7 linked regions of the Cricetulus griseus genome follow. The protein of the gene in region 5 purifies or fractionates together with the protein of the main gene of each other region. This does not show direct contact. Links are inferred from orthologs where the notes say so. Each region holds a gene or a part of one and is shown on either strand. Other genes may lie near its edges.

The links.
Region 1: the proteins of Tnks1bp1 (region 5) and Cnot6 purify together in Homo sapiens (affinity purification with mass spectrometry; 3 studies listed by BioGRID and IntAct, with this or other methods). This does not show direct contact. The link is inferred for Cricetulus griseus from reciprocal best matches to the Homo sapiens genes TNKS1BP1 and CNOT6.
Region 2: the proteins of Tnks1bp1 (region 5) and Cnot10 purify together in Homo sapiens (affinity purification with mass spectrometry; 4 studies listed by BioGRID and IntAct, with this or other methods). This does not show direct contact. The link is inferred for Cricetulus griseus from reciprocal best matches to the Homo sapiens genes TNKS1BP1 and CNOT10.
Region 3: the proteins of Tnks1bp1 (region 5) and CCR4-NOT transcription complex subunit 2 purify together in Homo sapiens (affinity purification with mass spectrometry; 5 studies listed by BioGRID and IntAct, with this or other methods). This does not show direct contact. The link is inferred for Cricetulus griseus from reciprocal best matches to the Homo sapiens genes TNKS1BP1 and CNOT2.
Region 4: the proteins of Tnks1bp1 (region 5) and Cnot6l purify together in Homo sapiens (affinity purification with mass spectrometry; 4 studies listed by BioGRID and IntAct, with this or other methods). This does not show direct contact. The link is inferred for Cricetulus griseus from reciprocal best matches to the Homo sapiens genes TNKS1BP1 and CNOT6L.
Region 6: the proteins of Tnks1bp1 (region 5) and Capzb purify together in Homo sapiens (co-immunoprecipitation; 5 studies listed by BioGRID and IntAct, with this or other methods). This does not show direct contact. The link is inferred for Cricetulus griseus from reciprocal best matches to the Homo sapiens genes TNKS1BP1 and CAPZB.
Region 7: the proteins of Tnks1bp1 (region 5) and Fhl2 purify together in Homo sapiens (affinity purification with mass spectrometry; 3 studies listed by BioGRID and IntAct, with this or other methods). This does not show direct contact. The link is inferred for Cricetulus griseus from reciprocal best matches to the Homo sapiens genes TNKS1BP1 and FHL2.

Annotation. Positions count from the first base shown.
Region 1 is NC_048600.1:64,155,617-64,159,767, forward strand, and holds the start of Cnot6 (CCR4-NOT transcription complex subunit 6), read right to left. Parts: upstream 2,801-4,151; 5' UTR 2,430-2,800; intron 1-2,429. UniProt on the Homo sapiens protein: Poly(A) nuclease with 3'-5' RNase activity.
Region 2 is NC_048597.1:221,684,002-221,687,501, reverse strand, and holds part of Cnot10 (CCR4-NOT transcription complex subunit 10), read left to right. Parts: intron 1-766; coding exon 767-909; intron 910-1,823; coding exon 1,824-1,910; intron 1,911-2,629; coding exon 2,630-2,713; intron 2,714-3,500. UniProt on the Homo sapiens protein: Component of the CCR4-NOT complex which is one of the major cellular mRNA deadenylases and is linked to various cellular processes including bulk mRNA degradation, miRNA-mediated repression, translational repression during translational initiation and general transcription regulation.
Region 3 is NW_023276806.1:139,747,295-139,750,794, forward strand, and holds part of CCR4-NOT transcription complex subunit 2, read left to right. Parts: intron 1-2,540; coding exon 2,541-2,666; intron 2,667-3,500. UniProt on the Homo sapiens protein: Component of the CCR4-NOT complex which is one of the major cellular mRNA deadenylases and is linked to various cellular processes including bulk mRNA degradation, miRNA-mediated repression, translational repression during translational initiation and general transcription regulation.
Region 4 is NW_023276807.1:158,440,508-158,444,007, forward strand, and holds part of Cnot6l (CCR4-NOT transcription complex subunit 6-like), read right to left. Parts: intron 699-3,500; coding exon 471-698; intron 1-470. UniProt on the Homo sapiens protein: Has 3'-5' poly(A) exoribonuclease activity for synthetic poly(A) RNA substrate.
Region 5 is NC_048599.1:90,486,593-90,490,721, reverse strand, and holds the start of Tnks1bp1 (182 kDa tankyrase-1-binding protein), read left to right. Parts: upstream 1-1,329; 5' UTR 1,330-1,461; intron 1,462-1,971; exon of another isoform or gene 1,972-2,355; intron 2,356-3,731; exon of another isoform or gene 3,732-3,884; intron 3,885-4,129. Other genes in the region: FACT complex subunit SSRP1, read left to right, coding at 1-54.
Region 6 is NC_048595.1:14,047,072-14,050,571, forward strand, and holds part of Capzb (F-actin-capping protein subunit beta), read right to left. Parts: intron 603-3,500; coding exon 489-602; intron 1-488. UniProt on the Homo sapiens protein: F-actin-capping proteins bind in a Ca(2+)-independent manner to the fast growing ends of actin filaments (barbed end) thereby blocking the exchange of subunits at these ends.
Region 7 is NW_023276807.1:5,338,962-5,342,910, forward strand, and holds the start of Fhl2 (four and a half LIM domains protein 2), read left to right. Parts: upstream 1-1,149; 5' UTR 1,150-1,460; intron 1,461-3,949. UniProt on the Homo sapiens protein: May function as a molecular transmitter linking various signaling pathways to transcriptional regulation. Negatively regulates the transcriptional repressor E4F1 and may function in cell growth.

The sequences.
Region 1 (4,151 bases), on a different chromosome or scaffold from region 5:
CACAACCTCCATAAATTTAATCATTCTGCTGTTCCTTGAAGTACTTTGTGCACCCATTACTCCTACGAAGGACAGGAAAGTAGAAACCGAATATGGTCACCTCTGAACTTTCATCAACTACCTCAGGACCATCACATGCTATTCCTGTATGTGCAACTTATCAGAAAAATATAAATGGACAAAAGAAAAGTAAAACCCAGAGGGTAAAAGGCAGCCCGAATGAGCCTCCATCTTGGACTCAAATGACCATTCTTTTCTTCTTTAATTACTTATTCAAACACCAAACTCAAACTCTACTGCATTCCACTGTACTCAAATGCACATGTAGTTAGATTATACTTGGGTTTAGTCTGCACTTAACTTACATGTAGTGTTTATTAGTCACATTTCATTATAACAAGGTTACCTCCACAGCCTGATAACAGGCACAATTAAAGCAAAAAGATTTTGTAGAAACTAAAGTTTGAAAACATTAAAACCAGAACTTTCTTCTCCACAACAAATACCACTACATATTTATAATAGAAATCTTAAGTATACATTTTTAGATGAATATATGTGGGCATTCTCAAAAGTGACAAAACATCTAAGCCAGAGTTTCCTAACCAGAAGATCTTGCACATAGGAGAGGGTTGCAAACGAACTGAAGATTTTACTCTCTCATCACACAAGGGCCAAAAAATACAACTATAAGCTGCTTCAACCATTATTCCAGTATCTTACACAGATTACCTTTCTGGGCTGCACTGTATAAAAAACTTAGTTGTGGTACTGCACACCTTTAATCTCAGCACTCCAGAGACAAAGACAGGAAGGCCCACAAGGACTACATAGAGATCTTTTTTTCTTTTAAAGTTAACATGGGTACAGTAGATGCCTAAACATTAACCAAAATACTAGTTAAAATTACATGTATAATATCTGTTCAAAAAAAGAAAAGAAAAAAAAAAAAAAGCCTGAAATTTCCCAGCAACCAGAAACATCTGAAGTTACACACGGACTGACTTCCAAGGAGACATCTCCAGTCACACAAGAAAAATGGCTTTTTGTCACATACATTTTGTCCATGTTAGCAAGCACCTTGTGCACTTACTAAGAAATGGCCACATTGATCTACCTCAAACAGTATCTATTGGCTAAAACCCTTTCTTCTCAAAAAAAAAAAAAAATACTTAATAATTATACCGCAATTACATGTCTTCACAAATACAGAAAGCCTGATGTTTACCCTCACTCACTGCAATACCTTGGTCGAGTCATCTTATTCTTTCTAGGGTTCGGTTTCCTCATGGGCAGCGTAAGACTAGACCACTAGTTCCATGTAATTTTAACTCTAAAGTTTATTCTAGAAAGCATCAAATTCAAAAGGCTGGCAGCAATTACAAAAAGCAAAATATGTCTTCACAACCTTTTGCCTACAGAATTGCTGTGGAATGAATGGTGGAGAATTCTAGGGAACTGTGGAAAACGGTGCTATTACACACCAAATTGGTTTTCGCTTAATTCGTAGTCCCTCTCTTCTCCAAACAATCCCAAACAGAGGCAACAAAGAACTTAGCCCTAGCAATAATCCGGCAGTCTACCTGCAAAACAGGTTTGCCTGTACTCAAATTCAAGCAGATTATTTAAACACAGTAACAAGACGTTGTTCACAATGTTGTCACTTGCAGTTAACAGTTAAAAGCAACGATTACAGTTGCTTGTGAGCAGACTCCGAAGACTATGTCAAAGCAGAAAGAGTCAAAGGGGGGAAGCCGGCGGGGGAGGGGGGGAATGTTACCAAAGAAAATAACCACTGGCGTTCAAACATGAAAAGTCTAGGTTCGCTTTAGTTAAACTCGGGAAAATTTCTTCAAGGAATTAGTACTCGAGTCCTGAGTCCAATAATCTCTACATCTGATAATTACGTCTTTGGCCACGTAATCCGCTCCGCCCTAACAGTAAATATCTGCGTTAAAATGACTTATTTAAAATACTCGAGGAAGGAAAAGGTGAGCGCTAAGTTTGTCCACGGAGTGCCAAGTTCCACGCCGCACAGTGCGCCACCCCACACAACCACTTCACCGAAGTTGCCACCGGTCTTGGCCCGGAGTCCCGGGACACCAGCTCCTTCCTCTCCAGATGCGCATGGCCAGAACCGGGGGTCCGAGAAGCTCAGGCCCACGCCACCGCCTCTGTACGCCACCACACTGCCGTCAATCAACACCCCCACCCCCGGCCGAGCCCCGGGACTCCGCGCGGGGGCGCGGCCCGGGGACCGACGGGATCGTGACTGCGGCGTCCAGGAGGGGGACCGGCAGACGTCACTCCGAGAACTACTAAGTTGTGTGTGAGTGCGCGCTCGAGGTCCCCAGGGCACGGCCCCCGGGGGATGGGAGAGCGCAGGCAGCCGAGCCTCGGCGGGACTTCGCAGAGCCCGTCGCGCTCACCTCTCGAGCTGCGCCGCCTTCCTCCGCCGCTGCCGCCGCCTCCTCCCGGTGAGTGCAGCGGGGTCTGCCCTGTGGAACCACCATACCAGTCCCGCCCGCTGCTGCAGCGCCGCCGCCGCTCCTCAGCCGCCTCAGCCGCCGCTCTTTGTTCCCCCCTCAGGCGCCGCTCCTCAGCCGCCCGCCTCGGCCGCCCGGACCCCACGAGCCGCCGCTACGCTCTGCCGCCCTCTCGGCCCCCGGCCTCGCCCTCCTCGCCCGCGCCGCCGCCGCCTTCGCCTCCGCGCCGTCGACGCCGCCGCCACCGACGCCGACGCCTCCTCTTCCGCGCCCCCCTCGTTTTCATTGAAAGCAAACAAGCATCATGGCGGCGGCCGCCGTCCCCCTCCCACCCCAGCCAGCGAGAGCCCCGCTCACCGCCGCCTTGCCAACATCCTGGCTTCCCATTGGAGGATACTGCTGGGCGCGACCATTTCGCGTCAGGCAGGGGGGTGGATCTTCGTCTCCGTTCCCCCGCGTCGCGGAGCAGTGAGCCGGCCCGGCGCGCTCCTGCCCGCCCGCCCTGCCTCTCTTCCCGCTCTCTTTGCGCCTAGCCTTCTCCACGCCTACTGTCTCCTCCTCTTCCTAACACCGTCCTAACGCCGTTTCAGCTGCTCCCTATTCCCTTCTCGCTCACTTTTATCTCCACTTTCCCCTTGATTTTTCCTCCTCTCCATTCACTTTTCTTTTCCTTGACCTGTCAATCACTTGGAAGCACAGATAAGCACTCAGACTTTTAACCTATCCAGTGTCTTGATCTGCCCAGAGACAAAACGTTCAATCTTGAATACTCGACTCATTGTTTCTGCCCTAACTATGCAGAAAAAAAAAAAAAATAATCAGTAGGAGTTTTTGATGATAAAGTCCTAGTTTTAAGTAACGAACCATAGCCGCATTCAAAGGCTAACACAGTCTTATCTCTTCTGGGTTATTACCTGCAGACGGTGGTTGCAGGTAAACCAGGAAAGAAACGGGCTGACTAATGATGTTTACGTCAGGAAATAATAGTTGACTGGTATTTTGGGCTCAGGGATTAATCAGACTCCACCTTGTCTTGAGTCAGCGTTGCATAGTGTATGGGCAAGAGTAATATCCGGCAGACAAACTGCACTGGCTATGCAGGATATAGTGTGAAGGAAAATAGCTGCCCCCTACCTCGTGCCAAATCAGCCCAAAAGATATGAATGTCAAATGGTTTCCAGAAACTAACAAGGAAAAAATAAATAAATGCTTGTCCCTCACCGAAGTCTGTAGGAAATGGGTGGCTATTGCCTGAGGCAGAGAGAGCTGGGAGAGCAAAGCTCCCAGGGACAAAGGCTCTTCCAAGAACCAGATGTTCTGTTCAAATCAAACAGTTTGTGTTTGCATGGCTCCAGCATTGCCTTGAGATGATCATTGTATGCCATCTGCCAGGATAGCAGTGCCAGTCTAGGCCTTTAGTGCAATGGGTCCCTACACAAAGTTAAGGCAATGCAAGCACCCAGCATACATGAAGAATTAGTAAGAACAGATGCATACTACCTACCTGAAGATATTTCTCCATAACCTCCAAGCCTGATCTACTCAAGTTATTCAGTGCATATTTTATACAAAGGGTGCCAGACTGAGGGGCCACTCATTCTGCTGGGCCACTCCCATTCCAATGCTGTATCCTGGTAACCTGTGCTCCAGCCTAAAGAAGAGAGT
Region 2 (3,500 bases), on a different chromosome or scaffold from region 5:
TGGTTTCCTTAATTTTTCTATTTAAAAGGTTTGTTTCTATTTTAAGTATTTTTTAAATTATATGTGTTGGGGTATGTCTGTGTGTGTCTGTGTGCACATGAATGCAGAGGCCTGGAAGTCAGAGGCATTGGTCCCCTGTAGTTACAGGCATTGGGTCCCCTTGAGCTGTAGTTACAGGCTGCTGTTGTAAGTTGCCTGATGTGGGTACTTGGAACTTGGGTCCTCTGGAAGAGCAGCGAGATTTCTTAACCTTCGAGCCCCTTGTTTTATTTTTGAGAAAGGATCTTACCGTGCAGTCCTGGCTGTCCTGGAACTCAGTATGGAGATCACCCTGACCTGGAACTCTGAGATCTGCCTGCCTCTCCTGAGTGCTGGGATGAAAGGCGTGCACCGTCACGTGCCGCTAGTTTTTTACTTTTGCTGGTTGGGTGTTTTGTTTGGTTTTATTCTAAGCAGTTTGGGGTTCGTAGCAAAATTGAGCCGTTTCCTACCGCCCTCCCCATCAACATCCGTAACTCCCCATAACAGCTGTCCTCGTTGGTAAGTATCAGTGCGTATCTTACAGTGGATGAGCCACACTGACACTTTACAGTCCCACAGAGTCTGTAGCTCACATTAGGATTTACTTCTGATGTACATTTTGTGCATCTGAACAAAGTACCTACCCACTGGGGTGTTATACAGAGGACAGTAACTGCCCTAAAATACTGCTCTACCTTGAAGTGTAACTTTTTCTGTTTGTTTGTTTGTTTGTTTGTTTTGCCAGAAGAAAAATTTGCCCAAGCAGTGTGCTTTCTGCTTGTAGACTTGTATATATTAACCCACCAAGCTGAGAAAGCTCTGCATCTTCTTGCTGTCCTAGAAAAAATGATCTCACAGGGCAGCAGCAGCAAAAACGGAAAGAATGAGGTGAGTTCCCAGCCATCAGACTGAGACTTAGAAGGTGTGACCCATGTCTGTCACATGAGACATGGTATCCTAGCAGCTTTCTGGAGGTGTGATTCACAGGAACTGTGCTGTCCGTCCAAGCCTTGTAAGCTTGCCTCTTAAAACTTTTCATTTTAAACACTTGCATGGCTTACATTTGTTTAGCTCCAACAAGTGTATTAAGAGATTCCAGCAGAGTGCTTTTAGCATTTTTCCTAAAGTTTGTGTTGTATAGTATTTCTTTTCCATATTTGGTGTATATGTGTGATAGGTTCTAATCTAAGGACGGTAGAAACACTGCAATCCTTGTCCCCGGGGCCCTCTGCAGGGAAGGGATGGATGGAGTACAGTGAGTTCATGGGTGGAAAGAAAGAAAATGAGAGAAGTTTCTAGGACTCGTGTGTTTGATTTGAATATTCAGTCTGACGAGTCAGAAAAGGAGGGATGGAGTAGAGTAACTCGTGGTAGAAGAGACAGCACAAAGGGTGTGAACAGTGGTCCTGATGTGTCTGAGATGTGGGGAGCAGCCAGGCAAGCACACTAGAGAGAAGGTGGGTCTGTGCAGAAGGAAGGTGAAGGATTGAGGCTTCCTCAGGGAAAGTAGGGCTCAGTGGTGCTGTCAGGGTAATCACACAGGAGGAGGGCAGAAAAAGACAGCCTGTCTTGGGTTTTAGAGGCATAGTCTGAGGGGCACTTGTGATTTTAAAATTGGTCCATAGCTATGCTCTTCTCCTCCTGTCAGGAATGCCGTACTGATCCTCAGTCCCTGGGAGTAGGCTCTGCAGCAGGTTCAATTTGAAAATGGCCTCTGGATACTTGATTTGGACACTTTGTACTTAGCTCATTTGGAAATCAGTATGGTTACAACTATTTGATTTTGTTTCACTATTGTACAGACTGGCAATAATAGCAACAAGGATGGATCTAATCCTAAGGCTGAGAGTGGAGCTCTAATAGAGGCTGCAAAGTCCAAGATACACCAGGTAGTGTATGCTCAAAGGGTGGACATGCATGGAAGCTGTGTGAGAGGCACATAGACACTAATTCAAGGCGGTGCATTTACTCGGGTTGGAAGGATGTAGTTTAGAAGTATAGTTTTTCCTGTAAATACATTTTGCTTTACATACACATACATACAGTATAACTTCTTTAAGTCACTGTATAGAACTTTGAAATAACCTAGAGGGCTGGAGAGATGGCTCAGAGGTTAAGAGCACTGGACTGTTCTTCCAGAGGTCCTGAGTTCAATCCCCAGCAACCACATGGTAGCTCACAACCATCTATCATAAGATGGTGCCCTCTTCTGGTGTGCAGGCAAATATGCAGACAGAACACTGTATATGGAATAAAAATAAGTAAATAAATTAAAAAAAAGAAATAACCTAGAATATATGATAAGTCAATATATGGAATTTTAAAATTATACAGATAAGATAAATTGTTTCATGCAAATTTGGATTTGTAGGTTTTTGGCTCGGGAGTATAATGATTGCCTATGATGCACAACACCTTAGATTCTATCCCCAGCGCCACACAAAAGAAAAGGAAAACAATACTTAAGATCATTTTTAAGTTGCATTTGGATGAAACTGGCATTTGACTGCGTTGTAAGCAGATGAGATTTACCGTCCTGCTCTGGGAAGCAGAGCTTGAGCGTGTGTAAGTGACCCACCTCTTACGTGCCTCCGTTCCTCCCTGACAGTACAAAGTCAGAGCGTACATCCAGATGAAGTCCCTGAAGGCTTGCAAACGGGAAATCAAGTCTGTCATGAACACGGCTGGAAATGTAAGTTCCTCCTGGGCTTTCCTCAGGGCTGTCAGCTTGCGACTCTCATATTTAGACTGAGGTTTGTCAGTTCTCAGTGATGGGGTGACTTACTGGTAGAGCACATGCCGCTAACCCAAGTTCTGAGGGGAAAGGAAGATTCTGGGCTAGCTGGCTTCTAGCCTGCCATTGAAAACACAGGCTTCAGGTTCAGGGAGAGCCTGTCTCAGCAGAACAGGGAGAGGTCTGCACACTTGCACAAGCCCCTGTGCCTATGCACATACACATAAATAAATCTTGTTTTTAAAAATTGGTGGCCAGCATACACCTTTAATCCCAGCACAGGGAAACTCTTCAAAAAACCCTAAGTAAATTAAATACATTGTTAAGTGCTGTGCAGTTTACTGCTTATACATGAGGCCATTAATCTTGACTTGGAAGTTTCTCCACCTAGAATAATCCCTGAGATTCTAATTCTTAGTGAGCAGAAGACCTCTGGGTCAAGAGAAGGCTGAGCAGAGAGAGAAAGAGCTAGACTGTAGAAGGCGAGCATGTTTATAAGCTAGCGAGTAATTGCTGGGTGGGAGATTTTCACAGTAGTGTCCAGACCTCTGTGTGCATTTGCACTCTTGAAGATTTCAGGAGAGTGATCTGAAATCCAAAACAAGAATTTTGGAAGAGAGATATTACTGCCTACAAGCAAAACTTGCTGTCTGAAAATTCTTCCTTTCATACTTGGAAGAACACCTGGTTATTGGGTATTAGTGAAAGGTGAGCTTGAATCCTGAGAAATGAGAACGGTTGGGGA
Region 3 (3,500 bases), on a different chromosome or scaffold from region 5:
TGGAGCTAGTACCCTACTAAAGTACAGTAGAGTTCTGAAATACAAGCAGTTTAACATACTGGTCTCTTAAACATTAACAGGTTTGACTGTTTTAAATAGTGAAAAACTGCCAGGGATAGGACTAAGCTAAGCAGTAGAGACAATTTAAATGATCCCCTGCCCCAGCTTGGCCTTGTAATGTAGTATTTTGTGTTGTAACATCAATTACTTTTTTTAATATATAAAGAGAGTAAATACTAATTTAGTCTATATCTGCCTCAGAATCTTGTTTTGCTGTTGTTGTTGTTGGTTTTTGTTTTTTTTTCTTCAAAACTTTTCCTGTCCTTGGCCTTGTCACTGAGAACAAGAGTGACTGAGTTGGTGACAAGACATTTCTGATTATAGAGACTCAGATTGAAGAGAGTCCTCCATAGGGAGCATTTGCCATTTTCAAAATAGCTTTAAGAAAAGTTTTCACATTTAACCCTTACAAATTTTGACCCATTATTATTTATTTGATTAAGCTACTGGAAACAAACTTGATTTTTGGCAAAAACTAAAGTCTGCTCAGGCAGAGGAAAACAGGGAGTGGCAGTGTTGGTGGCTTTGCCTCTGTCCTTTGTCGATGAAAAGAAGGGTTGTTGCCATATTGAAGGGGCAGAGAAGCAGGGCTGTTGGGTGGCACATAGGTGAAGGTGGCAGGTGAAAGGACATTCTGCAGTAGAACATGCATCATACATGACAGGAGACTTGACAGGAAGCATTGGTAGCAATAGGCTTTTGACTTCTCAGTGTTGAGGTGGTTTGTTGAACCGCTGAAGTGGATCAGCCAAGATTAAAACCACTGAAAGGAATGGAAGATTTTAAGCATTTAAATATTAAAGTTTTCTGGGTGTGATTTTTAAAACATACCAACTTTGTAGTTCTTACAACAAAGTTGTATACGTCATTGCTTTTAAGGTGTACACTTTTTCATACTTAAGATGTGAAATCATTGTGAAAGGCTACTCACATTTCAACTGAATGATGTTTTTATACACTGCTTTGAAGTTTCAGGGGTTTTTTTGTTTTGTTTTGTTTTTCAAGACAGGGTTTCTCTGTGTAGCTTTGGAGCCTATCCTGGCACTCACTCTGGAGACCAGGCAGGCCTCGGACTCACAGAGATCCACCTGCCTCTGCCTTCCGAGTGCTGGGATTAAAGGTGCGCGCCACCAACCCCAGGCTCAGTTTCAGAATTTTTATATTCTTAGGTTTTATACTGGAGAAATTACTTTCAAGATTTTCCCTAAGTTTACATTTGGGACATTATAAATTGCTGGTTAAATTATATTCTCACCTAATACATGAACATTTTAAATTGGACATTGGAAGACTTAAGGATGAATATTAGAAGTTAATTTTTACTTGGAGAAAAATTATAATTAATAACCATAATTTGAGAAATATACTTTATAAATTAAAACAGTAAAAATTTTCACCACTTTTGCTTTATCCATATTGCATTTAATGGAAAATTTATAAATGTTTTTAAAATAATTTGTATGAAATGGTTTACCTTTACCCTTGTAGTTTTAAATTATTACCTTCCTTGGTGTGTTAATAAAGTCTTTTTATTAGCCAAGTTAATATTAGGATAGATAGTAGTTGATATCCTTTTAATTGAAAAATTTTGAGAAAAATCAGAATTAATTAGAAAGTGGCCCCAAAACTATAATGTTTATAAAACAAGGAGAAACATAGATTAAAGAAAAATTATAGTATAGGGCAAATTTTAGGTAGAAAAATTAAGTGATTCAAAATTAGAATTCAAGGTTAAGAACACTCAAAGTTGAGAGGAAAAACTACTAAAATAGGCAAAATACGGAAGTTAGGTTAAATGTTTATTTCTAATGGTGGCAGTCTAATTCAAAATGCATAAAATCTTTATTCAGTATATTTATTGAGCGCCTACTGTGTAACAGGTAATATAAACTTCTAGGTTTTGGTCATTCCTATGTTCCCCACCTGCTCCTGAGACATAGGAGGAGTTCGTCCTTGCATATAGCTAACATATACATACATGTGTACACATTTTTATCTCAAACTAATAGTGTATAAGACAGAAGTCCTCAGGGGTTCTCTGTGCACTATTTGTCTCAGAGTCTTTCTGGACATTTGTAAGAGGTAATATCATATCTTACTGTTGAAGCTCTAGGTAATCTAGATTTAATGAAAAAAGCAGTTATATCTAAACAGTCTACTTCTTGTTCCCTAGCAAATTGTAATCTTTTTATCTCCCTTTCTGTTGGGGGAAATAATGTACAACCACACTCTTTATTCTTTGTATTAAATCTCTAGAATTAGGTATGTTAAGGAGCTGGCTGCATATTGCTTTCCTTAGTTGTTAGGAAATTCCATGACAGAAAACCAGTCCATAGTATCTTACCACTGTTATACACCTGTTACACCACTCTGCATTATTAAGGAAGAAGACACTGTTGTTTCAAATTATAATTTAATTTTTATAATCTCATTTTCAATGTTGGTGAAATCAGTAATGATTATTGTTTCTTATCGTTTAGATGGCAGTGAAAATGTGACAGGATTGGACCTTTCAGATTTCCCAGCATTAGCAGACCGAAATAGAAGGGAAGGAAGTGGTAACCCAACTCCGTTAATAAACCCCTTGGCTGGAAGAGCACCTTACGGTAATTAAGATTTTTAGTGGTAGCTGATTGAAAGTTACAGTCGTGTATGCACACATACGTGTCTCTCTGTGTGTTTATGTTATCAAATCAGGCTAGTGTTATTTTGAAAACTTTTTTTTCAAATTTGAAAATTCATATTTGAAAACTTTTTTCCCATATATCCATGATAACAAAATTCAGTGGTGAAATTTTGTATAGAAACCTAAATACTTGACTTCATTGATATTCAGAAATTATTTCTTCTGTTCTCCATACTTTAGTTTGATACAAGTGATTATTTTTGTGGTTTGGCTTTTCTTAGTTGACCCCACATTTTTCAAGTGAATATATCCCTAGTGATTAGTAGTGACTTCTGGATTGGGGTGTTTCTCTAAGTGAAGGTTTCTCTAGATTCACACTGTTGACAACGGCCTGGATAATTCTTTTCAGAAAGCATGTGGTGTGGGGGCATCTTGTTCATACAGAATATTTAGTACATTTCTAGCTTTAGCCTACATGCCAGCACCATACATTGTGACACACCGTTTCTAGACATTAGCAAATGTTCTCTTGTAAAGATAGTCCCTCTTGAGAACCAGTGCTTATGATTTTGTTCTCGACCCTTATAAGTAGCCCTAATTATTCTTTTTTGTTTTTTCTTAAAGATTTATTTATCACATATACAGTGTTCTGCCTATGTTCCAGAAGAGCAGTCAGGGCTCTTAACCTCTGAGCCATCTCTCCAGTCCTAATTATTCTTTTTGTAGTCTCTAGTAAATTATTTAACTAGTAGATCTGAATAAAGATGTTAGGGGAGAACCATACACAATAACAGTGTAGACATAAAAATTTAGA
Region 4 (3,500 bases), on a different chromosome or scaffold from region 5:
CTACCCCTATAGCTTCTATCTAGACTTGATTAATGGGGAGCCCTGGCAGATCAGAGCAAGAGTGAGAGAAGGGTTTATCTTCCCACATCTCCCTTCTTATTATAATCTGGCAGGCACTGATTGAATCATTCAATTCTAAGCCATCACCTCAATTATTGGCTCTCTTGTATACTTCCAATTTCTGATGACAGCTCCCACCATTTTCCCAGTTAGGAGTAGGAGTGGTAAAGTACAAAAGCAATCATTGTTTTTTTTTGTTTTTGTTTTTTTTTTTTTTACTTAAGACTGAACACTCCTTTGGAATCAGTCTCCTTATTAAATTTTTTCAATTAGTCACAGTCTCAGCCCTCAAATTCCAATTGATATGTTCTTTAATTTAGAAGAGAAAGCCCTGTTAGGAGATAGGTGGCCTTTCAACCAAAATTAGAAGCAAAACTGAAAGCAAGTAAAAAAAATGATGTTGTAAATACCTGAATCTGGCAATGAGTTAAGATCTGCACATAGCACCAGCGGGATGGAATTAGGATCTGCGGTTGGGCTGCCAGGCCTACTTGAGGCTTTCTCCAGAATGTTTTTAACCTCTGAGACAAACATCATGGTCTGAATAAGTTTCACATCAGAATACTCTGGGTCCCAATGCATGTGGGCATTTGCCACTATAAGCAGCTGTTTGTCTGCAGCATGAATAGGCTTCATACCTAAATTTAAACATCATAAAAAAGAAAATGTAGAGTTATGTTTATGTTTCTTGAGAGTAGTACCTTAAAAGTTCTCTGAAAAATATCCATTGCTACTTCTTTACTCTTTCCTATTAATTTAAACTGATTTTTATCTTGCACTTATCTGACAAGCTAAAAGGTAATTCTGGAAATTGCAATATATTAGTTATTCATCAGGGTCATGTTAACAAATGGCAGCCTATGGAATAAACCTGGGTCCACTACATATTTCTATTACAGGCTTTGTGAGCTAAAGGTAGTTTTACACTTTTCAAACAGACTCTATGTGGTCCACAGAACCTAAAATATTTAGTATCAACAATTATAGTACATGTTTATACTAGAAATTATTTCATAATATAATGAATATATGGGTTATAGTACTATTCATCTGCTGAGTTCTTAGCTTAAAGCAAACAAGTTATTTTAATTTTAAATGATGTGTGTATATGTATCGGAATATGAGGTCGGTACATGAATATAGTGCCTGTAGAGACCAGGATTTCTTGTATCTGAAATTAAAGGTGGTTGTGAGCCACCCAATGCAGCTATTAGGAACCAAATTCCAGTCCTCTGGAAAAATGAATGCTCTTAACTGCTAAGCCACCTCTCTAGTACCAAGCAAGCACTTTTAAGTGCCTCTTATTTAATTAGCATAATAATCTAGTGAGAGATTTTTCCAACTGAATTAACCAATACTTAATATCTTGCCACTACATAATATGTTACCTGTGTTGCATTTCACTAGCTTAATAGTGAAAGGTCAGTAGGAAAAATTAGTAACATTATATGAACCTACAGAAAATGAAATAAGGAAGCACATTTGTTACCCAACTGAATCCTCAAAGTTTATTTACTTATTTTAATTTTTGAAGTCAGGGTTTCTCTGTGTAGCCCTGGCTGTCCTGGAACTCACTATGTAGACCAGGCTGTCCTCAAACTCACAGAGATTGGGCTACCTCTGTCTCCCGAGTGCTGGTATTAATTAAAGGCATGCGCCACCTCAGCTGACCCCAGTTAATTTTAAAATGGAAACTGTGGGACTGGATAAAGGCTCAGAGCTTAAGAGCACTTGCTGCTCTTGAAGAGGACCAGAATTTGGTTTCTATCACTGACATCAGACTGCTCACAACTACCTGCAACTCTACTTCCAGTAGATCCAACACCCCTTCTGGCTCCCATGTGTACCAGGCATGTATATTGGGCACATACGCAGCCATGACCCTCAAAACAAAAATCAGAGAATTATGTGCTCTCAAAAGTCTGGATACTTTCATCTTTGACCTGCTTTTACTACTAATTACTTTGTGTGAATTCAGGGTAGTCAACCACTTAATGTTTTTGATACTCGAATAATTTGTAAAACGATAATTCAGCTATATATATATTCTTTTTTCCCTAAAATTCTGTCAAACATCAACATAGTACTTTTCAAAAGGTGGACATGGTAAGTAATAATATTAAATACAAATTGTGAAAAGAAAACTTAATAGGTGCTGGCGAAAGATGACCCTAAAACAGTCAAGGCATAAAATTAAATATTAATGGTATAATGTCACTTAACATAAATCTATATACACATATTTCAGATGTTTGGATTCATAAAAAGAAATGAGTAGGAGGAGATTTCTAGAGTGTGACTGACACAGGAACTTATTGCTTTTTAAGTTTATATACTTGTGAACTATTAAAGTATCAGTTAACATGCAAACCTAAGTTTTCTACAAGAATATCTCAGATTTTTCTACTGAAATAGAAACTCTAAAGAAAAAAGACAAATTTCTAAGTCTGATATTTAGGTAAAATTATTCTTCCTTCCAATCTTACTATATTTAATTTTCTTCAACATTGAGAAAATAAATTAATAAAGTACCTGTTACATGAAACTGAAGGAATAATTTACATTTTTTTTCTAAGCTGTCTCATTTTCCTAGAAGTTTTAGTGTCACTTATGGCTATAAGTGAATGTTTACTATGTTAAATATTAAAAACATGTCCCCAAAAAGCTATTTGCTCCTACCCACCAAATTCCCCTTCTAGAGGGATAAGGGATGTATCTTAGGAAGTAGAAGTGTGCAGTAAGTAATTCAGAATTACTCTTCTATAAATTAAAAAGGGATAAACCCCAAAGGTGTATATTTCTATAAAAGCAGAACAAAATATACCAGGAAGAAAGTGATAGGAAAAATACATAAAAATATTGAAAAGGCTAAAAACAAAAAGTAAACATGAAATTTCACATTAAAGGCTGTTTTTGTTTAACAACAGATAAACTGAAGAACTGTAGGAAAAAAAGGGAAATTTAACAATATGTATAGTCTGAATAATTCAAACTAGTACTCAAGACAGCCTTTTCTTCCACAGGCAGCACAGGGAGAGAAGTGCACTGATGTCATCTTACCACCTTGTTCTTGCCTGCAACATTAATAAGTAATAAAGTGCTCTGAGGCAGGCAGGAGAGAGGCTAACAAAAGATCTTAATAATGCCAAGCACACAACAGATTTCTGACTCTCAAGGAAGCTATGAATAATCTAAAAACCCTGGAAGTATCACATAGAAAATATGTCATTCTCACCCTGACAAAGACTTGAAATTTAACAAAGAAATTAAAGAAAACAAGCCAACTATTTCATATTAAAAACAAAGGGTTCACATTCACAAGAGAGGACTAAGCCATGGTAACTTCTAATTCAGCCTAACTAAACATCAAAGAACTTATTCAATTAATGGTATGTTAAAAAGGCAGGTATTACCTTGTTAAGTAAAAATAATGATAAAAA
Region 5 (4,129 bases):
CTAGCCAGCACTCCTCCAAGCTCAGAGGACTCTGCCTCAGGATCTGATGAGTAGAGGAAGAAAATTCTTGTCCTTGCCCTGTCACATCTCCAGGCTTTCTACATAGTTCTTGGACTCTGTGCCATCTGAGTAACTGCTCCTGGTGGCTTCCACTTCTCTGAGGCAGGCATCAAGGGAAACATCTAACCTCAGCTGCTTTGCAAGAATGGCTCCTTGTAATCTGGGGAAAGACTGGGTAGGAGTGCATTCTGTCTGCTCACAGTGCGTTGAAGGATCTAAGTCCTCGGCTCACTTGCCCGACTGTAGGGATAAAGCTGCTTCCTGTCTTATTCAAGTGGCTGCATCAGGGGTCATGTGAAGTCAGGCCTGTAGCTCCTAATAGGGGCCTATTTCTACTTTTATTTTGTATTTCTGGTCTGTGAAGTCAATTTAATAAATGGAACTGACTTTGGAAACCATGTCCTTATGTCTCCTTTCCCACTTTACATGTGGTGTTTACCCTTCTATCCGGACTCTGCAGGGCCCTCCTGCCCAGCTGGGAAGCAAGTCTTGAAGCACATCCTGTCCTTCCTGGCTGGACAAGCATTGGTTTTCACCCTTGTCTGTGAACAATGCCACCTGAGAGTCAAGAAATGAGTGCTGATCTGATTAGGAAGCCTCTCAGAGTTCCACTCCATTAGCCAGCACAGGGGTGGGAGTCGGAGGGGGCGGGGTTCTCAGCTCCATCCTTAATCACTTTAGGAGACAAGGGTCTTATAAGGCTTGAGGTAATAGAATGAGGATCGACTTTCTAGTGCAGGGAGTGGAAACCTGAGTCAGGAGGATGAGTAGTGTGTGAGTGAAGTTAAGTGTGTGAAGGGAGGGCTACAAAATTTCATGTTTGGGAAGTGTATCTAAGAGAGCTCTTAAACAGATAACACGAGGGAAAAAGCTACTCCACTTTCTACTGTGGCTTTCAATCTGAATTTATACACGACGGGTGGCCACGTCGCTTGCGCTCCCAGGAAGACTCAGGTGTAACAGGAAGCCTGTTCAGTCCGCCAGCGGTTCCCTTCGTGCTGCCCGCGCTCTATGGTGCTGTAATCAGTGTAGGCTTAGGGAAAGCAGTCCAGAGCGGTTTCCTCTCTAGGCAGTCATCTCGGTGGCGCTGGGGTAAAATTGCGTCAGTTTCGCCTAAGTCTGAATCAGGACCGGCTCCTCATTTACAAGGTCATGAATAATTATGTGCGAGCTGTGCTTGTTTGCATCTCGTGGGCCGGACTCTGTTTCAGCTTCGGCTTCCCTCTCACGGATTCTTATATGAATATTCATGAACGGCATGGAGGCGTGTCCCTGGGCGGGGCTATGGGAGGGGCCCCGGGGCTTGCACTGGCTCGGTCCCGCGGTGACGGTGGCGGCAGCGGCAGCAGCGGTCACTGGCGTCGGGGTGCCTAGCCGAACGGAGCCCGTCCCGGGGAGCGCGTGAGTGTGCGGCGACGGCCGGAGGGGGCGGGGTCCGGGGATGGGGGCGGGGAAGGGCATGGAAAGAACCGGGCGCCTAGCAGTCCCGACCTCAGATTGGGGCGGCGGCGATGGTGGTGGGGGGGTCACTAGGAAAGTTTGCGAGGGCCTGGGGACGCGGGGGCGCTGCGGAGCTGGAGCGTGTGTGCGGGGGTGGAGAGCACTCGTGCCGGGAGCCAGAAGAAAGCGGGGAGAGGCGAGGGTGGGGCGGGGCCGGGCCGGGGGCGGGCGGAGCTACTCGAGGGACCCCCCCCTCCTGCCTTCACCGGCCCTCTTCCTCAACTCTCATGGCACGCCCCCAGCCACCCCAGGCCGCCCTCACAGTCCTCCTCGCCAGTCCTCGGTCTGTTCCTTCGCGGGCTGCTTGGCATCTCTCACTGTCCCCGCTGCTGCCGCCCCCTCCTCCTCCACCCTCATCTGCTCCTCCTCTTCGCCTGGCCGCTCGATGTCCGTAAGCTCCCCACGGAGGCCCTCCAAACAGCCCCTTGCCCTGGGCTGTTCCGCCTTCCTGTTGGCCCTCCCTCTTCCAACACTTAACCCTCCTGGTCGCACTAGTCGCACATTCAGCAGGAGACCTTTAGGGACGACCCTGCCGGCCCTTAGGGTGCCTGCCTGCCCAGGACTGAGGCTGCCTAGTGCCTTCCCATCCTTTGGGGGCAGCCTTTACTCCCAAGGCTGTCTGGTTTCCCTAGACCATTAAGGGTGCGGAGTTCTTGAGGCACTGCGATTCTGCAGCTTGAGGCCATGGCCTTGGTTTCCTGGGGCTCCTGGCTGGGGCCTCTCTACTGTAGCCACCTCCTCTGTCTTCATCTCTGCAGCCCCTTATAACCTCAGAGGTGTCCATCAAGCCCACAGGTGAGAGGATTTTTTTTTCTAGACTAGTTTTTCTTCATTTCTAACCACCCACACCATATCCCTTGTAATAATGTTCAAGGACAAGGAAGCAATCTTGTGTATTTTTAATTTTATTTTTTCCTGTCACCCCCTCCCCCCCCACACACGTTATTCTCCCACGCACAGCCCGTGGTAATTGGCTGATCAGAGATTGACATTGTCACAGTTTCTCTCCATACCCTCTTCGAAATAAGCTGGGACAGGGTCAAGGGGATGGGGATGCCTTTTGCAAAGACTGGGCACCACAGGTCGTTTTTAGCATTGAGAGCTATCTTCTCAGACCAGTTGGAGTGGGAAAGGGACTTTGAGGTTGCAACACAGTGAGGGTTGGGTTGCCCCTCCAGGGTTGTGTGCATTCCGTGTGTTAGGCAGCTTCTCCCTTGCTTTTGAACCTCAGGGGCAGTGCTTGCTATTCATCAGGTAGCAGAGCCTGAGGGGGCCTTGTGGGTGGGAGGGTGCATCAGCACCCAGGGTGGGAACTGAGGAGGTGGAGTGCCTGAAGAACTGATGACTTGGGGTCATGAAGGACTGGTCTAGGAATGCAGCCTAGGGTAGGGGGAGAGTTATAGGTGGTTACCAAGGATGTTAGTTAGCTCATTAGTGACTCCGAATGTAGTCACATTAATAGTGGCCAACTGTTACTTATCACTTCCATGCTTGGTATTTTGCATGCATTATTTGGCTTGAAACTCAAGTCTTAATACCCCATTTTTCAGATAGGGAAAAGTCACACAGCTTTAAAATGGTAGACCCACTTAGCTGTTAAATCTGTTAATATCAGATTCAGAAGCTCATGTGACAGGCTACTACTATGTGGCTGTCATCTGGTTTAATTTCTTCTGGTCCCTCAAAACTCCTTCTGGCCGTTTCCAGGCTAGTGATCCACACATATTCCTATTTCACAGTCTATGCAGGTCCCTCCCTGACTGTCCTGGAAGGCTGGACCCTGAGGAGTTTTCCTCCAAGTCAAGCCTCCCACCCCCACCCCCCGCCCCCCAATCAAGTCCAGTCTGTCCTCTCCCTGCCCATCCTGGGCCGGCTCCTCCTTCCCTTTGGCTAGGCCCTGGAAATCCAGTGGGAGGCCATTGCTATGGTAACAGGACTAGGCCCTGGCTTTACCTCATCAAATTCCAAGCTGAAGCCAAAACGATTGAGAAATTAAAGGAAAAAAATGTATTCCAGATGTTTACTTTTTATTTCTTATTTCCCCGTGTTTGGATGAGACAGCTCTGAGAGAAGGAGGAGGGGGCAGGGATGTGAAAGGAGAATGGGGAGAAGGGGGTAGGGAGCCACTCCCAGCCCATAGAGGGAGGGAGGAGACTGGGAAGGGGGGGGCGGCAGTGGGGCGGAGCCCCAGGTCGGGGAGGAGCGGGTTTTTCCCGTCTCCCATGAGGTGATTCCCGAGACTTGAGACTTTCCGGCCCTCTTACCCCGCCTGGAGTGGATACCTCTAGTGGGGCTGCCTGACCAAGAAGGGTGTCTTGGGAACTGTAAGTAGGGTGTCACAGGAGGGTGCTTGGGGATGTTGTGAGTGAGGTGGCTCTCATGCTCCAGATCTCTGAGGTTCAGAGCCAAGAGTTGGAGAGTTGTAGCAAGGATGTGGCTGTGGGGTCCTTCCCCACCCCGCCTGTGGGGACCTCCCCGACCTCCTCCTGGAGTTCTCTCTTCCTGTCCCACACAGCCTGGGTTAGAAATAGACTTCCTTGGCTAAGCCTGTTGACTCGCCCAGCTCTTT
Region 6 (3,500 bases), on a different chromosome or scaffold from region 5:
TGTTCTCATACACCTGTAATCTCCACACATGATCACAAACTCAGTTTGCCCAAGCTACAGAGAGAGACTGTATCTTAACTGCGTATTTGTGAGTGATCACCCATGTGTGAGTCTTAGCTTTGCCCCTGCCTTGGACAAACTTCCTCATTCTCTCTGTGTGAGCGCTATGTGGTGACTGCACCACTGTAGCATCCGACACTTTACTCCCACTGAAATAGCTATTCATTTGAGAGGACCTGAGACAGTGGGAACGCAAAACACATGCCCTGTGTAAACATGCCCTGTAAACACATATGTGCTCTCCCGACTCACCTGCCACTATTGTGAATGGTAACAGAATAATATGGTCATGTCTGCCTCAGGTGGCTCCGACTTTAGCAAGTTAGGAGACCAGGCAGCAGAGCAGGGAGGCTGCTCAGCTTAGTCACGCTCTCACAGAAGATTTCCCCCCATGAAAGCCCCGAGAGCTAATGTGCAGAGTAACTCACAGGTCTCGGTATTGGTCGAAGGCATTGTTGGCCTCCACCTCCAGCTTTCTCAGTCGAGCAGAAGGCATGGCCCCATCTTCCAAAGGAGGATCATACTTGTTACTCCACGGTGACCTGGAAGGTAGCAAAGTAGGAGATGGTCCTGTGAATCATTCCGAGTCCCCTGGCCTGTAAACAGAGGGTCCAAGCTCAGCTGCCTCAAGTTCAGGGGCCAAGTCACCAAGAAGTTTTCTGGAGAGGCTTATAGAGCAAAGGGTCAGATGTCAGCAGACAGGCTAAATGCAGCTGTTAACACCAGCAAACACCTTAGCTGCAACCTCACTTTCTCCTGTGGGAAACAAGGCTACCATTCACTACCCTTGGGCTGTTTTGAGGAACAGATAGAAAGAATGGCAAGTGCCGTGGCCACAAATACCAGTGTTTCCCTGTGTTCACCATCAAAGTGGTCAGCCAGTGCCCATGTCTCCCTGACTTTCTGGAGGCTCCTCAGACTATAAGTATGAAGAAGATTGCTGTCAGTTAGAGAAGCAGGCAGGAGGTGCCTCGCTCCTTAGGGAACACAGTCAATGAACCCAGCACACAGGGCTAAGCACACAGGAAGTAAAGAGAACCAGGCCCCAACCTGCTGCTTTGAAAAGCACCTTTTCCCACACCAGGAGAACATTAGATCACCAAGAGCAATGGGAGGCATTTTAAGAAGGTCTCCTTGCTAGTTTCCAAAGGAGTGTGTGGGGGGGGAAGGGGGCTGCGAATGTGCTTGCCCACACAAAGAAACCTGTCCATGATAAGTCCTCAGGCTCAATTCCCAAACAAGAAATATCCTTTCCAAGCTCAAGCCTGCCCACCCCTACCAACAGACTGAAGACCTAAGGACTGATGGAGAAGGGGGAACAGCCTGGGCTACCCCAAGACCAGAACTAGCTTGAGTCTTTGATGAAGGGGCCGTTGTGGCACCTGACAAACTCTGCAGGGTCCTTCGGGCCAACAGACAGGGATGGAGCTAGGGTGACATTACATGCTTGCAGTCTTGGCAGCTGTAAGAGGTACAGGAAGATCAAGCTTGAGTCTAGCCTGAGCTATCTAACGAGGCCCTATCTCCAAATACAACAAAACAAGGGAAAAAGGGAAAGAAAGACGAAGAGGAAGAGGAAGAAGAAGAGGAAGAGGAAGGAAGGAAGGAAGGAAGGAAGGAAGGAAGGAAGGAAGGAAGGAAGAAAGGAAGGAAGGAAGGAAGGAAGGGCGGACACACAGAAAGGCATCTTTCCTCAGATCTCAGAGGACAGCTGAAGGGTGCTGGCAGCTGCCACTACTTACTAGTCAGCGAGGTTTGGCTCTTCTACTGGGGGACAGTGTGCAAGAACCAACTATGAGCTGGACCTCCCCCCAACCCTGCTTCCTCTGAGAATCCCTGACATATCTGTAAGCAGGGTGAGTCCACATCTCCCCCCCTCCCCCCTCCCCCCACCATCGCCTTCACATGGGCACAGAAGACCCAGCCTTTTACTCTTTTTGAAAGACAACCTGGACCTGCAAGGTGACACTTGCTGACAAGCCTGATGACCTGAGTTCAATACCTGAAACCCACATGGTGCAAGGAGAAAACCTTTAGGTTCTGACCTCGAGTGTGTGCACATGTACACATGTACACATGTACACATGTACACATGTACACACACACACACACACACACACACACACACACACACACACACACACAGAGTGGGGGGGGGATAAATGTGGTTAAAAATCTAAGCAACCTGCTAGGACACAATCACCCATCCCATGCAGACTGGGGCCTGAAGTGTAAGAAGCCTGTTAAGTGGTCCTCCTGCCTCACAGACGACGGCATTTCAAGCCGTTAGGCCTGGAGCCGGGGTAATTGTAGCTGGGGGAAAAAAAATCATAACATTACCCAGAATATTCTTAGTGGAAGGGGCACTCAGAACACATTTAAGAGCTTAAATGGAGGCCATTTGAGAAAAGACAGATGGACAGGAATGCTTAGATTTCAAAAGTCAGGCCTTTCATTTCCCCAGAAGGCTTTTTGTTTCAGCTAACAGGTTTCAAGCAGTGCTGCTGGCAGCAGCCGTGTCATACGGATCTTATTTAAGCAAACGATCAAACACAGGATGGAAATGTGTGGAGAAAATCAGAGGACCTTGAAGTTTCAGATCCAGAAAGGGAGAGGGAAGTCAAGCTCTCTCCTTACCCCCTCTGCTCCCCCGTGAGGCCTTGGTCCCTAGAGCCCCCTGGAGCTGTAGTGGGGCCTGCAGGGTGCCCAGGAAGGGATGACGCCCTAGTGGGAGGGGCACACAAGCCGGGACTTCATTTTGTCTTTCCCTGAGCTCCAGCATAGCAGCGACCTTACCTGGTGTGTTCAGAAACAGCACTGACAAGACTCCCAGGAAGCCCTAACTGAACCTGGTGAGGGTTTTTTTCTGTGGCCATGTGCTCCCTTGGCCTACCACAGGGTTGTTTGTCACTTTCAGGGCACTCCCCTAAATGGCCAATATCTAGGTAGGAAAGTGTTGGGCGAGACTTGTGGACAGGGAGAGAGCACTGGGGTGAAGAAGGGTGTAGTTGCCAGGACACTCAGGGAGAAGCTGTGTTGAAGAAAGGTACCAAGCCACGTGATAGAATGTAGATAAGAAACATGAGTTAGGGGCTGGGGAGATGACTCAGCGGTTAAGAGCACTGACTGTTCTTCCAGAGGTTCTGAGTTCAATTCCCAGCACCCACATGGTGGCTCACAACCACCCTGAATGAGATCTGGTGCCCTCTGCTGGCGTGCAGGCACAAGACTGTATACATAATAAATAAAATCTTAAAAAAAGAAAAAAAGAAACGAGTTAATTTAAGTTGTAATAGTTAGTAACAAGCCTAAGCTATTGGGCAAGCATTTATAATTAATAAGTCTCTGTGGTTATCTGGGAGCTAGCTGGCAGAACAGAAAATTCCACCTACACCCTGGCTACCCCCTCTGCCTCTCCCTCTCTTGTCCTGTTCTCTTTA
Region 7 (3,949 bases), on a different chromosome or scaffold from region 5:
TGCCTTCTCTAACATATGTTACCCCGAGCTCCCCTGGAGAATGCCTACACCCAAAACCATTGTGATGGTCCTTCAGTCGATTGGCTGAACTTGGGAACCCCTAGGAGACACACCTCTTTGAGGGCAGTTCCAGAGAGGTTTAACCGAGGGGCAAAGACTGACCCCCAAATGTGGACAGCACCTCTCAAGAGCTGGCCTCTCAGACTGGATGAAAAGGGGAAATTAAACTGTTTCCTGACTGAGAAGGCAATGTGACCAACCAACTTGACATTCTCACAGTGGCCATGCCATCTCAGTGATGACCAGCTGTATTCCTTCATAAACCCTGCAGCCAAACGAATCCTTCCATTAAGTTGTTGGTCAGGTTACAGCACTGAGAAGTCCTTGCCTCTGCCACTGCATGTGGGCCCCCCACCTACTCAAGAGCAGATGCTGCCCTTCCTAGACGTGGGGATGCGGGTACCTTCCACCACCATGTTGGACATTGCCTCCTGTCCCTACTAAGGGCCAGCTCTGTGCAGAAGACCTTGGCTTTGAGCATGAAGGACACATTAAGCCCTTCATTTGCTTTCTGCCTGCATGGAGCCACTGAATGTCAACAGCTAAACAGCTCTCAACCTTCTCTCAGTCAGCTACCTGGTGGAACAGAGTCATTAAAGATTCTTTACGTCATTGGTTGGGTTCATTCCACCACGGAGAGGTATTTGCAAGGGAAGGCCGGGGAAACTACCATGCCAGTGCATGCCCTACGCACACATCGTTCCTCCCCCAAATCTCCAAATGGCCCACCCATGCTTGCCCAGACGGCGACCAGGCGCAGACCCAGCAACCCAGAGGAGGGTCCTGGTGAGAATAGACCCATGTCATTCTGCCCTTAGGTGACAGCGGCCACAACCCTCTGCACTGCACTGCCACTGGCCCCTGGAGCGGAGGCCAGGGCGCAGGGAGGCTTGACTCTGTGCGCCACACACCGGGAAGTAAAGAAGAACGTTAAGTCAAACAAAGGGTCCGCAGCAGCTGCAGCAGGGGGGAACACGCGACGACAGGCGATCGAGGGGCGCTCGCCACCGCGCCCTGCTCCCTTGGCCCGCGCGCCCAGCCCGCCGCCCCTGCGCGTGTGTCCTTATATGGTCAAATGACTCGGCGGGGGTTCTCGAGGGCGGGAGCCGAGCCGGCTGCACTCCGCCTGCTGAGCCGCCGCCGCCGCCACCACCACCGCGCAACAGTCCTCTGAGTGCCCTAGACCCCGGCCCCGTCTTGCGCGAGTACTCCTGCCGCCGCCCAGTCCACAGCCGGACCTGGTACACAAGAATAGCCAGCAGACAGCTGCCCTAGCACGCGTGGAGAGACACCGGTGGCCAGCGTACCCTGACCGTGGGGCGGAGACCCGGCAGACCCGAGCAGGGCTGTGCAGACCGCACCCCTGTAGGGACCCAAAACGGGAGGAACAGATCCTGGAGGTAGGAGAGCCCTGTTTTGCAGAGGACACCAGGGATGGGGACCTAAAACGGAGAGCGTAGATCCGGGGAGAGGAGAGCCTAGCTGGGCAGGGGATACTCAGAAAGGGGACTCGAAATGAAGGGGAAGGAGGGGATACGGAGAGTCATGGAGACGGTGGACCGGAAACATGAGAGAAGAAGGGGAGTCTTGAAGGGGAGACCTCAGAACCGGGGAGTTGATCTACAGGAAGAGCGGATGCGGGGCAGAGAGGACTAGAATCATGAGTGCTAGGGACCCGAGCACAGGAGAGTCTGACTTGGGAATGGTGGGGAAGGGGACCATTGGTGTCCAGAGAGAGGGCTACAGCCCTAGAGGAGTGAGTCGCCGCCAGGTGGTGAGAGACGATGAGTCTCCCCCAGAGGCAAAGTGGAACTGGTCTCTGAAGTCTATGGAAGGGAGGTGACACGCTGGTCAGCACGTGGATGGCCAGGCATTTCCCTTGGGAAGAAATGGGAGTTTGCCTGTGACCACACATCTTGACTCATCCACAAAATTAAAACCTGAGCCATAGGGTTAAAGAAAAATAATAATAATAACGCTTTGAAATGAACAGAATTCTAACTGATAGATTGCAGTCTTGTGATGTCTTGTGGAAAGAAACGCTTCAATGCTGTTTCTGGTTTTAAATGAAGCATTGGTCGTATTTGCTTGATAGTCTCCAGTTGTGTCTCTGGAACTCACCGAAGCAGGCATTTTATGAAATATGCAGCTGTCTTTGGCAAAGCCAACTTGTGGCGTGCACTTTCTTGCACATATTTTTAGGAAGTAATGAACTACAATTTGGGCTTACAGTCATGATGAGATTGTCTTCAAAACACTACTCTAAATGTGTGTCATGTCGTGGTGTTGCTCTGCTTATATGTATATTTTGCAGTAATGTATGTGAGGAAGGTTGCTTGTGGTAGTGTTACTGTGGTTATCGTTTGAGATAAATCCTTACTCTGTAGCTGGGAAAGCCTGGAGTTTACCATGCCATCTCAGGTGAACTCACACTGGTGCCTATCCTCCTGCCTCAGCCTCCAAAGTGTTGCAATTACAGGAATGACCACGAATTCCTCAAGCCCCCCTCTCCCTCCCACAAAAAAACCCAATTTGCCCTAAGGCTTAGAGTTCCCAACCCATTACCTAAAGGTCAATAAAACCAAATTTAAAACAGTCATTTTTCTCACTCTTTTTTTCAGATTCATCTCTCTCCTAGTTTTTAACAGAATAGTGTGTTGCATTGGTGGCCCCCATCCTGGCTTCTCTTTGTTCTACCTCCTTGCTGTCCGGCCTAACAGATACAACATGGATAGGTGTAGAAAGCTTGGTTGGCAGATGCACCTGGAACAGAACCAAGATGCCAGAATTAACACTGGGACCTCTTAGCCCACATGGCCTTGCCTAATTCACAAAATCTATTGGTTGCTCAGTTTCCTCCGAGAGAATCAGATAACAAAGACGCTTTCCCAGCATACATATATACACATATGTGTGTATATAGATGCATATATATCCTGCATATTATATGCAGCATATGTAGATTTTATAGCCTCTTGTTCACAGATAAGAAAACTGAAACAGAATGGTCGAAGTAACTCTGATGTCCAAAGTTTCCCAGTATGTAGATTGTAGCCCTGAGAGCTGTATCTGGAGATTTCTACTCTGTACTGGGCCTCACTGTATGAATATTTTGTTGAGGCCCTATGCGGCATGTTTTTACCTAAGACTGTTAAATGCCTTCAATACTAAGCACTATCTCAACTTCAGAGAGAAATGCGTAGCAGGATATAGAAGAAAAAAATTCAGAAAGCCAAGAGGAGTGGATTCTCCCCCTGTTCTGCACAGAGGGCTGGCTACCCAGCACCTAACACACCACGTCCAAGTCACTGTTCTATTGTTGTGAGAAGACACCACGACCAAGGCAACTCTTATAAAAGAGAGCATTTAGTAGAGGGCTGGTTACAGTTTCAGAGGCTTAGTCCATTACTGTCACTGTCACAGCAGAGAGCATGGTGGCACTCAGGCAGACTTATGCTGGAGACGTAGCTGAAAGTTCTATTTTATGATCCACAAGTAGCAGGAAGAAAAATGGGGCTGAGTCTGGCATGGGCTTTTGAAACCTCAAAGCCTACCCTTAGCAACACACTTCCTCCATCAAGACCACACCTCCTAATCCTTCTAATCCTTCGGAGAATTCCACTTCCTGGTGGCTAAGCATTCGAACATATGAGCCCACAAGGATCACTCTAATATAAACTACCACACACCAGCTTAGCCATTTGTAAGCAGCTGTGGTTCAGATATGATTTTTCTTCAAGACTCTTGTGTTGGAAGCTTGGTCATCCTTGGGTAAATGTTGGGAGGTAGGGAGTGAAGTCTAGAGGTTAGAGAGCTGGTCCATCAGCTAGGAGTACTTACAGAGGGCTTGAGTTGGACACACCATTCATGAACCCCGGTAACTTCTACT